Linked DNA regions of Drosophila melanogaster. The gene in region 1 interacts genetically with each later gene. Each region holds a gene or a part of one and is shown in the gene's direction. Other genes may lie near its edges.

Region 1 (7,817 bases):
TATTAAGGCTAATGTGGGAACTTTTTTTGCCAGTGACTAATGGGTAATATAGTACGCAGTTTACTGCTAGTTGGATAGTATTATATTTTTTAAATAATTTAAGTTATTTCCAGTAAGTGCTATTTATTAATTATTACCCTCGATATTCTAAGTAAAAAGCTTTTCGATGTTGTCAAATGTATTTCCTAGCTCCCACAAACTTATTAACTCACCAATCCCACTCTATCGATCCAATTTGTATAATGGATCTATCAGATCGATAATTATGTTTTTGCTACTCCAGATGCCTTAATAACTTAATGCGGATCGAAGCAAATAGACGTATATGTGATGTGTTAGCTCATTATCGGGCTCGTTAGCTCAATCAAACGATTCGATCTACTAATTTGAACGGTCCGCATTAACATCGGCATTAGTTAGTTAGTTAGTTGCTAGATGCAGGCTGCAAGGATGACCGGATTGTTGGCAAGTACAAGTGCACATATGTAGATCAATGGCAAATTTGCTTCGATCTCGACATCGCCGCTAACTGAATTTGGTTAAAAGCTAACACGATTGAAAATAATGCTGCCACTGCCACTGCCACTGAAAATGTCATTCGAATTGGCGGCCCGAGTCCAATTTGAGAAGCGGCGGCAGCCTTGCCAACGTTATCAGCTTACAGGACAGGAATATATATATAATTATTTATATAGATTGCTATATGGTCGGTCTCGTAATCCGTCAGCTGCCATATGCAAATCCCAATCGCCAGATGTTTTGACGGGGCTTTCAATTATGCCATAGATATTGTAATGTGCCTGTACTTATCGCCCGGGCTTAGTTTAATGTGCTACATTTACGCATGCAAATTAGTTGTTAAATGTGCTTTTAAAATTTAATCGATATGGCTGGGTGCCACCTACTTACATCTCGGGCACGCACGCAGCCATGTGATCCGTACTTCCTGTTTACCATTACTTTGTTTTCCAGCTCACTTTCACTTGGTCCCTATACGATCCGCTTCAGCATCCGCTCTAGTTCTGACGCGATTCGATTGAGTCATTCAGGATCTAATGCGAATTGCTGGGTTCTAAAACTGAACGAGATCTTCGACTGTTGTTACACCTAGAAAAATGGAACGTATCATAAACGTAAGGTGCTTTTATTGTCTAAAACATTCTTAATAATTTTAACCTACTTCTTTAAAATAATTCTAGTGGTTAAAAACATTTCCCTAAAACAACTTACAGAGTAAGAATGTCATATATTTTCATTATTTTGCTCTGTGCACACACGGCGTATGCTTAACATTTGGCATGGACTAGCTTCGCTTTGTTTGGATTTGTTTTGGTTTTTTCTGTATGACCTGTTGAGGCTTTTCAAATGACTCCCGTTCGACTGACTGAATACTTTTGGGGTATTCTACCACCATTCCGATTGACGCGCACGCGCTAATGGTTAACCCCGCTTTTTAGCCAAGCTACAAGAGCAACAAAAACATGGCCAATGCGACGTTCTAGCCTGTTGCCGCACTTGAACTTGGTCGACCAAGTTGAGTCGAGTCAGGCCCCGCGATTCTCGACCCACTCAGCTGGCTGGCTAGCTGGTTAGCTGGCTGGTGAGAGGAAACCCCACGGCATCGGCATCTTGGCTTTAACCCAGCTACAGCTGGGCAACTACGTCACAGTCGCGTCATGCGAAAACCAGTCATCGTCGTTTGGTGAAGCAAACAATCGTCGGCAATCGGCCGAAACGTTCGTTAACTTGGCCGTCGGAATCGGAATCTGGGGGTATTTAAGCGGCGGCAACTCGACATGAAGCATGCATTGATTCGCTATCATTCGCCCTAAAGACTTGTGCCCAGCCTCAAGTAGTTTGCTGACTCTGTTTGTTGTAATACAATTTAGCTGACAAGGATAATACACATCACCACATCAGTTTCGAGTTCGCGAAAGGATCCAGCTAAAGTTCAACCGATCAACCATCTATATATCCCGCCGTGAATTCGAGAGTCGAGAGTTCTTGTCCAGCTCAATTCTAGACGCAAACAGTTCAGTACCAGGAGCGATTTTCTTGAAAAACAAAACCACCCAGCCAGATCGCCAATAAGCAGTGAAAGTGTCAACACATTTCGAGTGCTTATTGCAAATCAAACAAGAAAAGCGTAACCAAGCACATAAGCAAATAGTATTCTAAGTGTTTTTGCCAACACTTTGCGTAAATTTTTGTTGTTCACCCCAAACGAAAACAACCCAAACACACAAAAAAAAATGATGGCCGTTGCAGCAGCCCAAAAGAACCGCGAGATGTTCGCCATCAAGAAATCCTACAGTATTGAGGTGAGTCGAAAATCCAGCAAAACATACAATTTCCAAATCGAATTGTAAAAAAAAAGAAGCAAATGAGTGACTAGATTTGGTCTACGTGACTATCTAAAGGTTTTGTGTTTTCAAAAAAAAACCAGTTAACCGGCCAGTAGTCGAGCCCATTTTTGTGATCCCGCATTTCTTTTTCGCCAATTCAATTTGACCAAACTCAATCCTCGGTTGGCCATTAAGTCACACCTCTAAGAACAGGCGGCCCAAATCGAAAGGCCCAAATCGCCAACGGACACAACGGGTTGTGTGTTAAGTTATTATTTAACAAATAAGTGAAAGTGGCTGCCTTTGGGCCCCATGCACTTAGCCTGGCCGAAACAGTCGCGCCTCATTGTTGTTGACTCGTCTCTGTTTATGTTTATGCTGCGTCCGAGCAAAACAAAAAATATGAAATCAATATAAATGATTCAATGAGTTGGTCATCTTTCATCAGCCAAAGCGGTGGCCCAAAAAAAAAAACTGAAGAAAACAAACAAACAAAAAAAAAAAAAAACGAGCTGACAGTGAAAACTGCAAGTGATGGAAACCTTTTTCCCCCCATCAAGAAAAAGAAAGAAAAAAAACCTTTAACGATCGCCAGTTGCATTTTTTTCCCGCCAGAATCGCATGGGGATTTTCGATTTCTCAGTCACATATCATTTATCTTCGCACCTGCCCGCTTCGAAGCGGCGACATCGCATTAAATTACCATTCGTGGCTTTGAATCACAATCAATACAGTTCCATGAATAGCCAGCTTTATTCAAAGAAAAAGATCTGAAGACGGCGCTTTCACACACCATTTTATATAATATTTTCAAAATTGCGCAATACTCTGCTCAAAGTCACCACCCAAGCGTGGAGCCGAAGAAAGCCACCCTGGCTTGAAGGTCAAGGCAATCGTCTAATTTCCGCTCCACATCCTGCCAGTGTCACTAACACGGACTTCAATCTTTTCGCTTTCGTTTCCAGAATGGCTATCCATCCCGCCGTCGCAGCCTGGTGGATGATGCCCGTTTCGAGACCCTGGTGGTCAAGCAGACCAAACAAACCGTCCTCGAGGAGGCCCGCAGCAAGGCAAATGGTAAGTGGATAGGGTCCAACAAGTGGGTCACTAAAATAGCTCCAAAGAGGGTTTCTATTTGGGATCAAAAGGGAAATTTTGCAGCTAGGGCTTTACTTGTTGATTAAAAACTTAAAAAGTTGCAATTTTTATTTCATTTTATTCGTTTTGACATAGATTTGCGTTTTTTTCTTATTCATTTTAACCCTTTATTTATTATTTGCCTTCGTTTTTATTTTTATGATTTTAAAGACGATTCCCTGGAAGATTGCATTGTGCAGGCTCAGGAGCACATTCCCTCCGAGCAAGATGTGGAGCTCCAGGACGAGCATGCCAATCTGGAGAACCTGCCCTTGGAGGAATATGTTCCAGGTTAATATCCATTTCCATTTCAATTCCCATGCCAGTTACTCCTCTTTCTGAGCCTATTATCTTTGATTTGATTTTGATTATGATTTTCATGGGCTTTATTATTATTTTTATTTCATTCGCTTTTAGTTGAGGAGGATGTTGAGTTTGAGAGCGTTGAACAGGAGCAGTCGGAGTCGCAGTCGCAGGAGCCAGAAGGCAACCAACAGCCGACCAAGAACGGTGAGCAGGGGGTTCTAGAATCCAGCAGCCAACCATAAGTAGTACTTAACTTCTGAGAGGGGCTTTTGAAAAGCGTGCGACATTGATTTAAGTGCTTAATATGATAAAGTGCCAGGGCAGAGGAAAAGCACTCAGCCACACGGACAATTGTGAGTGGGCGCGCTCGCTCGCTCTCTCTCTCTCTCTCTCTCTCTCTGTGGAAATGTCGCATTTCCCTTTTTCATTTGTTACGCTCGACTTAATACAAGTACGAAATGCGTTTGCCTGGCAACCGTCTCACTGCCACTGCCACGTAGCTCGCTTATCGTTTACGTGACCCTAAGCCTTGGAAGATTGCATCCTTAACCATCACATTATCCCCGCTTTTTTTTGGCCCTTTTGCAGATTACGGTCTCACCGAGGACGAGATTTTGTTGGCCAATGCCGCCTCCGAATCCTCGGATGCCGAGGCTGCCATGCAGAGTGCCGCTTTGGTGGTCCGCCTCAAGGAGGGCATCTCCTCCTTGGGTCGCATCCTCAAGGCCATCGAAACCTTCCACGGCACCGTCCAGCATGTGGAGTCCCGTCAGTCGCGCGTGGAGGGCGTGGACCACGATGTCCTCATCAAGTTGGACATGACCCGTGGCAATCTGCTGCAGCTGATCCGCTCCCTCAGGCAGTCGGGCTCCTTCAGCAGCATGAATCTGATGGCCGACAATAACTTGAATGTCAAGGCTCCGTGGTTCCCCAAGCACGCCTCCGAATTGGATAACTGCAACCATCTGATGACCAAGTACGAGCCCGATTTGGACATGAACCACCCCGGATTCGCCGACAAGGTATACCGCCAGCGTCGCAAGGAAATTGCCGAGATCGCATTCGCCTACAAGTACGGAGACCCGATCCCATTCATCGACTACTCCGATGTGGAGGTCAAGACCTGGCGCTCGGTGTTCAAGACCGTTCAGGATCTGGCTCCCAAGCACGCCTGTGCCGAGTACCGGGCCGCCTTCCAGAAGCTCCAGGATGAGCAGATCTTCGTGGAGACCCGTCTGCCCCAGTTGCAGGAGATGTCCGACTTTCTGCGCAAGAACACCGGATTCTCTCTCCGTCCTGCCGCCGGTCTTTTGACTGCCCGGGACTTCCTTGCCTCCTTGGCCTTCCGCATCTTCCAGAGCACCCAGTATGTGCGCCACGTTAACTCACCATACCACACCCCCGAGCCGTAAGTATCTATCATCATATTTTACTAGGGGGTTAAAATCACTTCAAAAAGGGGAGAAAAAGGCTCTTTGTCCTAGCCTAATTGCATTTGCCTGCCTGCCTGCCGCCTGCCTCTGTGTGTGTGTGGGTGGTTGGGTTTCCTTTTCCGCTTTTCCCAAGCAACTTTTGTCGCCTGGAACACAGGCAAATTGGCTACAGGAACTGCGGCAGGCTGCCCAGCTCATTTAACCAGACTAATTGCCTTATGCCAGCACATTTTCCACACTTTTAACAAGCATTATTCTATGCCATTACAGCGACTCCATTCACGAGCTGCTGGGTCACATGCCCCTGCTGGCCGATCCCAGCTTCGCCCAGTTCTCGCAGGAGATTGGACTGGCCTCGCTGGGTGCCTCCGACGAAGAAATCGAGAAGCTGTCCACGGTGAGTTGATTTTCTAATTGAGTTGCAATGTAACGACCTTAGACTCAAGTGCAGCTATGACGCAGCTAGTTTTTTTTCGCAACCAAGATCATTGTTTAGTCACTGTCAAAGTCGAAGAGGAAAAGTGAACTTCAATGCCAGAATAATTTTTTTCTTTTTATTCATATAGTTTACAGATACAATTTAATGCATTTCAAAACACTTAATTGTGATTTTAAATAAGTTTTTAAGTTCAGAAAACCTTGATCTTATAAGTCATACAACTTCCTGCATTATCTGCCTTTGCTTTTATTTTCCTTCCTATTTACTCATTGGTTCCTTACCATTTCATTTCTACAGGTATACTGGTTCACTGTTGAGTTCGGTCTCTGCAAGGAACATGGTCAGATCAAGGCCTACGGTGCTGGACTCCTGAGCTCCTACGGTGAGCTGCTCCATGCCATCAGCGACAAGTGCGAGCACCGCGCCTTCGAGCCCGCATCCACCGCCGTGCAGCCCTACCAGGATCAGGAGTACCAGCCCATCTACTATGTGGCCGAGAGCTTCGAGGATGCCAAGGACAAGTTCCGTCGCTGGGTGAGCACCATGTCGCGTCCATTCGAGGTGCGTTTCAACCCGCACACCGAGCGCGTCGAGGTGCTGGACTCCGTCGACAAGCTGGAGACTCTGGTGCACCAGATGAACACGGAGATTTTGCATCTGACCAACGCCATCTCCAAGTTGCGACGCCCGTTCTAAGTGGATGGGGGGGAGATATATGTATGATATATAGAAGCACCCAAAAACATCGCCCAAAAAAACACCAGCCACCCCCACCACCCAAACATACACATACAGGTGCAACGGTCTCATTTATACAAATTAATTTTAAATTGACATACCGCACAATCCCTCGTACACGTAATCCTTAAACCAAAATTAAGGCATCGCGCATTATTTTTTATTTTTTGTTTATTGTTTTTTGTTTAATTTTTATTTAATTGTCATCGAAAAGTTGTAATTGTCGAATCGCGCACATGGTAAAAAACACAAAAATCAAGCATATTTATTTGTTGATCACCCGATACACCACCCAACCTGCATATTTATCACCGCAACTATTATTGGACCAAAAAATCTTTAGACGTTTAAGTGATGTGAAAACAAAGCCAAGCCAAGCCAAGCAAAGCAAAGCGAATTAAGTGAAGTGAAAAGCTGGGAAAGCAAAGTTCAGATACATCCGCACTTAGTAGGCAAAGTACCACACAAAAACCGATTGTATACTCAGACAAAAATTGTTTTTGTATTATTATTATCTTCATTTTGCCTCTCACAATATTTACCTAGACTATATAGACACGCGATATAGTATTCCCGGTATAGGAAGCTTCATTTAGAGAGAGTATTTCTAAACAAAAATGATATAGATACAACAATCGAGCAAGGAACAAATGGAAAACAAACAAAAAAAAAAACGGAAAAGATAAAAAATGAAATGGAAAACAAAACAGAATTTTCTTACATTGTACAATAACTGTAAACGACAATATTACTATTGTGTACTATTATTATTATTATCTATTATTATACTTATGACTATTACGTATTGTATTGTAGGTATGTAGAGTTTAAACATTATTATTTTATTTAAGTTTTGTGTATTAATAAAATTAAAAATGCAATTGAAAAATAATTACTCTTTGGTTTTTTCATTTGATTATCTTCTTTGGCAATTCGAAACTCTAAAGTCTGAATCTGTTTAGGGAACATTTTATGACATCAAAATGGAATATTTATTTAAAATTAATGAGTAGAATCGAGGAATATGATAAATATATTTATGGGTGAGAAGAAGTGAATCTCATGTGAACTAAAATCGAGCTATGTAGAAAATATTTCACAAATTTGATGAAATTATATAAAATAACGAAAAACCTTGGACCAATACATATGTATTATTATAAAGTAATTAAAATCAAAATATTTCAAAGTAAACAAAGTAAAACATTGGGATCAAGAATATTACATATTTATAGTTAACGTAGCATGGAATTTTATTGTTATTGTTCGATGTATTGTAGTTGCAATTGGATCGAAAGCCAACCAAGTGTTAACATTTCTGCAAGCAATTAGCCAAACTAATTACTAATTATATTCGCACATAAATCTATATATATAATCAACTTAAAGCGCAGTTGGTCCCCAAGCCAGGCTTCGTTG
Region 2 (5,952 bases), on another chromosome or scaffold:
ATATAGATTTAGACAAAATACGTGACCTATTGAAGCTCAGCGATGTGATGTGTACACCAAACACCCGCTCGCTTATCTCGGCCCTTGTTTACCCCATATGATGCCTGTTTATGCAATCCCCCTCTCAAAGGCGCCATTCGACCCCTATAAGCGGAGAATACTTTCGCATTCATTCGCAACTCAAGATGGTCATAAATCAAATTGTAGTATTCTTCGCCTCAATCGACCCGAACTCCAGCCACCCGTAAAGCAGCATAATGTGGGTGGGTAGTTGGGCGACTGGTGGCTGGTGGCTGTTGGCTGGCGTGTGGGTGGAGCACCCAGCGCATTAAAATCGAAAGCAGAGCCGTTGGCATGGCGTATAAATCTGTTGATTCAGCCAAGTGATTTGCCAAAGTGGCTTCGTTGAAATGTCAGGCACACGCACTTTGCTCGCACTCAGCAACAGTTGGACCACCCGCAGGATTCTCAGCAGCCCTACACTGAAAGAAATTATTTTCTTTTGTCGTAGGCTAAAAGTGTTTACTTGATTCTTTTAAATAGTAATTAAAGGAAGATAATGATTTTCCTGTCGTATTCCAATATCATTAGCCGAGCCGATATACCCATGTTTGTCTGTCCGTATAAACTTCGAGATTTTGGGAACTTTAAAAAAAAAAAACGGTCACGAAAACAGTTTTGAAAAATATTTTGAATTTTTGTATTATATCTCTCGATATATTTGGCATAAACATTTAAGCCACATATTTATTGTTTCTTGCCAATTTCTATTGATATTTCAACTGAATTTTGAAATTCCGGCCAAGTAACTGGCATCCAAAAGTCGTTAGCTTTCTATAGTAATTTTGAATTTTTCTCAGTGTATGCGGAACTGCCCGCTCAAAAGGCTCAACCTAGCCCACTTCCCCTAGCACAATGCGAAAGTGAGTGAGAGCATTGGATTATTTGACGTCACAATTCCATGAGCGGTTCAAAAAGCACGTCATATGTGGTGCTCTAATAACCGGTTTCCAAGATGCGCGTAAAGCGTGCCATTCCACGGCTTAATCAATTTCTTGTCTTTCCTACGAATATAACTTTGTTTACATTTTTTTGCGTGATTTTTTCTTCGGGGAGTCCAAGAAAAACCCTGTTTCGAGTGACTCATAATTGGGGGATTCCTGACGAGATCGCTCTCTTTCCACAAATTCGAGTTGGGAAGCACGTGAGTAGAATTCAAAATGTTTTGCTTGCTGTTTTAAATATCACTAGGTTCTCAAACTAATTTCAAAAATAATCAAATTAAGTTCACAGAGCTGGCAAATAAAATGTAATAGCTTGCATGTATGTATATATATATATTTTTTTAAATTCTAAATAAATCCATGGAAAATAAAGCCTTTGATATCCAGTTACTGATTCAGCGCCCAATTAATGCATGTTCCAAAAAAGTGTCAAAAAACGTGCACAAATCAAACGAGAGCTGAATTTGTTTTTACGACAGCGGCTGCGATTCGAAGTTCAGCGGCTGCGGACTGCGATTGAACCGGTCCTGCGGAATTGGCAGCGCTGCTGGACGGGCTTTAAAAGCCATGGCCAAGAGCGGGCAGCGCTCAGTTAAGAGGAGAACGCCAAGCGCACAGCAATCAGCACCGAAATATCAGCATCGAAATATCAGCAAATAAATATTAGCTGTTCTAAACCAGGAGGGCAAACTGAACTTGGAGCAAAGATTTAGTTCGGAACGGAAGTAAAGCTCGGCAACAAGTGCAAACAATTAAAAGCAGTTAACTAAAGTGCAACGGTGAGAGACGAAAGTGTGGCTCCTCAACAGCCTCAGCTGCCTGAAGTGCTTGGCCAACATAATGAGTGCATGTGCATGCGAAAGATTCATTTCGGGGCTAACGCTGCGTATACGTAATGTGTATCTAAAACTGGGCATATACTATAGCCTTGCTTCGGTTCAATTTGATAGTTCGGGCCCCGAATTCTATAGTGCTTAAGCTTTTCTCGGCTTTCGGTATCTGCATGCTTTTGTGTATCTATTAAAATAAGATTTTAGCTGGCAACAAGTCGTCGTCTCAATGCCAACTTGTTTACGTTGTTAAAATTGGAATTTAGAAAAAAAAAAAAAATAAAGCAGTCTTGATTAATGCAAGAATGCATTAAACATTCTAATTACCATACTAATTCACAGCCTATACTTAAGCAGCGCACTCGATGGGAAAACGCTTTAAACTATTAATACCTTAATACCTTATTATTATAACTATTATCATCATCGTTTTGCCTATCAAGTAATTAGTATTCAATGTCGTTCATTTGTCGTGTTTGCAGCGATAGCATTTTTTGTTTGAGCTGCTGCACTGATTAGCACTATCTTCAAAAACGCACTTCTATTAATAACACTTTCAATAATCGCACATTCTTTCATATTAGCTCTAACCATTCGAGTTCATATCATTGCAAAAGTCAAACGAAAAGTAAATCTCTGAAATGAGCCACATACCCATTAGTAACACAATTCCAACAAAACAAACTGATGGTAATGGTAAAGCTAACATTTCGCCGGATAAGCTGGATCCCAAGGTTTCGGTATGTCTATTGGGTTTAGGTATAGAGCCAACAATTATGCACGTCTGATAACCAAATACTTTTGCATCCACATCAAGATCGACATGGAGGCGCCGGAGTTCAAGGATTTTGCCAAGACAATGGTCGACTTTATAGCCGAATATCTGGAGAATATACGCGAAAGGTGAGCCAGATTAAGACTCCCTACTCAATTAGCTTGAATTAAACTTAATTTAGCGTATGAATTTCATTTATATGGTATCAGAATCAGTCGCTTGACCTCAGCATTTTACGTTCGAATCGAAAGTTCGTTCTGCTCGATTCGAATCCCCGGGCAAGTGAATGACATTTCGCACACGTTTTGAGATTAGTCACGGGAAAGTCGCACCGATCGGACATTTCCATTGCTATATATATCTATATATATATATCATTTTGTTTAGGGGGTTGAGGCGACCTTCCCATTAGCTCGAGGGCCAAGTACTTTCGCTGCTCTTGGGCCGAAAACTAATTAATTAAATGGCTTTGTTGAGTTGGCGTGTCAAGGTCGTTTTTCATGTATACGAGTATAGATATAATTGCACTGCTAACGCCTTGGCCAAAAGCAATTCGGGTATTTCACTATTCTTGGGCAATTCTTCTAACGGCTTCGTTTCCATTACCTTGAAAATCAAAGTCAGCTAAGTAAACAATTTTCTTACTACAGCTGCTGAGTTTGTTTGCCCATCGACAGTCGCTGAAATTAATGGTTAATTGAAAATCAAGCTTAAGTAGAGCGTAATATAATAATTCATTTTGCTTTATTAAAGTTCCTTCGACATTGAAGTTTCAAAACTATTTTCTTAGTTAGATAACTTTTTAAACGAATCTTTGTTAATTGAAGATACATATATATAGAGAAATTATCTTTTTATTTTCTTTTTTCACCTCTTAGTAGTACTTCCTTTTAATTGAAAGGATAGAAAATCCCACCATCATTATCAGCATTGCCTCTCTATCTATATTCTGTTCCCATAGCAATTTGCTACATATTCGTATTGATTTTCATGGCAGTGGCAACAAGTTGGGGGTGGTTGGATGGGTGTCCTTCAACCCCAATGATTCCTGATGCCTTTGTTGGCTAACTGAGTTTCGCAGCCAATTAGCAAGGAGCTTTTACTGAATGGGCGCCAAAATGCAATCAGAAGCTAACGCAATTTTCGCAATTACAGGCGCGTTCTGCCGGAAGTGAAGCCTGGCTACCTGAAGCCATTGATTCCGGATGCTGCGCCCGAGAAGCCGGAGAAGTGGCAGGATGTGATGCAGGACATCGAGCGAGTCATCATGCCGGGCGTGACACACTGGCACAGTCCCAAGTTTCATGCCTACTTCCCCACGGCCAACTCGTATCCAGCGATCGTTGCGGACATGCTGAGTGGAGCGATTGCCTGCATCGGATTCACGTGGATCGCCAGTCCCGCGTGCACGGAACTCGAGGTGGTCATGATGGATTGGCTGGGCAAGATGCTGGAGCTGCCGGCAGAGTTCCTGGCCTGTTCGGGCGGCAAGGGTGGCGGTGTCATCCAGGGCACGGCCAGTGAGTCCACACTGGTGGCTCTGCTGGGAGCCAAGGCCAAGAAGTTGAAGGAGGTGAAGGAGCTCCATCCGGAGTGGGATGAGCACACCATCTTGGGCAAGTTGGTGGGCTACTGCTCGGACCAGGCTCACTCATCCGTGGAGCGGGCTGGTCTTCTGGGCGGAGTAAAGCTCCGTTCCGTGCAGTCCGAGAATCACAGAATGCGTGGTGCTGCCCTGGAAAAGGCCATCGAACAGGATGTGGCCGAGGGTTTGATTCCCTTCTACGCGGTGGTCACCCTGGGCACCACCAACTCCTGCGCCTTCGACTACTTGGATGAGTGTGGACCGGTGGGAAACAAGCACAATTTGTGGATCCATGTGGACGCTGCCTATGCCGGATCCGCTTTCATTTGCCCCGAGTATCGCCACCTGATGAAGGGCATCGAATCAGCAGACTCTTTCAATTTCAATCCACACAAATGGATGCTGGTGAACTTTGACTGCTCGGCCATGTGGCTGAAGGATCCCAGTTGGGTGGTCAACGCGTTCAATGTGGACCCTCTTTACCTGAAGCACGACATGCAGGGATCAGCTCCGGACTATCGTCACTGGCAAATCCCACTTGGACGGCGATTCAGGGCACTGAAGCTCTGGTTCGTCCTCCGGCTGTACGGTGTCGAGAATCTCCAGGCCCACATCCGCAGACACTGCAACTTTGCCAAGCAGTTCGGGGATCTCTGCGTGGCGGACTCCAGATTTGAACTGGCCGCCGAGATCAATATGGGATTGGTCTGCTTCCGGCTGAAGGGCAGCAACGAGCGGAACGAAGCTCTTCTCAAGCGAATCAATGGACGCGGCCACATCCACTTGGTTCCCGCCAAGATCAAGGATGTCTACTTCCTGCGCATGGCCATTTGCTCGCGATTCACCCAGTCCGAGGACATGGAGTACTCGTGGAAGGAGGTCAGCGCCGCTGCCGACGAGATGGAACAGGAGCAGTAAAGTGGTTGTGCAGGTCTGTTCCGTGTTTAGTATATAAATTAATATAGTAAACTTAAATTGGACCAGTATGATATATAATGCATTGTGACTTGGAACCCGGAACAGACCATACACTTTCCACTTGCGACATGTTTAGGGAATTTACATCGCAACAAAAGATGGTTCGTCCATCGCTACATTATATTTATAGTATCCTATCATTGTATCATTGATGTTGTTCATGATTTTTATTGTTAACGTTATGCGCCTAATTAAAACAAATGTATTCTGCTTAAAAATACAAACGAATTGTAACTATAAATTTTGACTAGTTTTCGTGTTGATATACACTGTACAATTTAGCAGCCCATTCGGATTTCCCATTGCACTTAACCGCAGTGCACGCTTTTCAGATAGTAGTCAATAATGCGTTGGGCTTCTCGGATGCCACTGGACCTGGCGGCATCAATGGTTCCAAAGCCTCTCAACGAGGTTGCATCCCCAGCAAAGAGCAGACCGGGCGACTTCTCGCCCAGCGGAGCGGCCAGTCGCTGGACATCCCGGGCACTGCTGTTGGTGGAGAAGTAAGGACGACCGCCGAGGTAGCAGGCCGACGTACTCCAGTTGGAACGCAGCAGTTCCTGTGGGTACGGCACCAGGTGACTGCTCACGCAGCGCCTTAGCAGACCAGTTATCTGCTCCAGCAGCTCCTCATCGGGCAGCTTCTCGATCTCCTCGTAGTATCCGCCACCCACATGCACCTCCAGCACATGCTGACTGCTGGGCACCTGGCTGATCTCCACGACCTGCTGCGTCCAGTTGCGTTCGGGTTGCTGCTCCACGGAAGGATTCAGAAGCGTT

The links. Genes that interact genetically often act in the same process or in processes that back each other up.
Region 2: of ple (region 1) and Ddc, changing one enhances a phenotype caused by changing the other (phenotypic enhancement), as found in Drosophila melanogaster (one study listed by BioGRID).

Annotation. Positions count from the first base shown.
Region 1 is NT_037436.4:6,713,509-6,721,325, reverse strand, and holds the start of ple (pale), read left to right. Parts: upstream 1-1,800; 5' UTR 1,801-2,252; coding exon 2,253-2,321; intron 2,322-3,310; coding exon 3,311-3,422; intron 3,423-3,653; coding exon 3,654-3,773; intron 3,774-3,899; coding exon 3,900-3,992; intron 3,993-4,376; coding exon 4,377-5,196; intron 5,197-5,491; coding exon 5,492-5,618; intron 5,619-5,957; coding exon 5,958-6,356; 3' UTR 6,357-7,817. UniProt on the Drosophila melanogaster protein: Plays an important role in the physiology of adrenergic neurons.
Region 2 is NT_033779.5:19,115,941-19,121,892, reverse strand, and holds Ddc (dopa decarboxylase), read left to right. Parts: upstream 1-1,586; 5' UTR 1,587-1,783; exon of another isoform or gene 1,784-2,418; 5' UTR 2,419-2,475; coding exon 2,476-2,574; exon of another isoform or gene 2,575-2,651; coding exon 2,652-2,737; intron 2,738-3,764; coding exon 3,765-5,112; 3' UTR 5,113-5,410; downstream 5,411-5,952. Other genes in the region: CG10561 (uncharacterized protein), read right to left, coding at 5,481-5,952.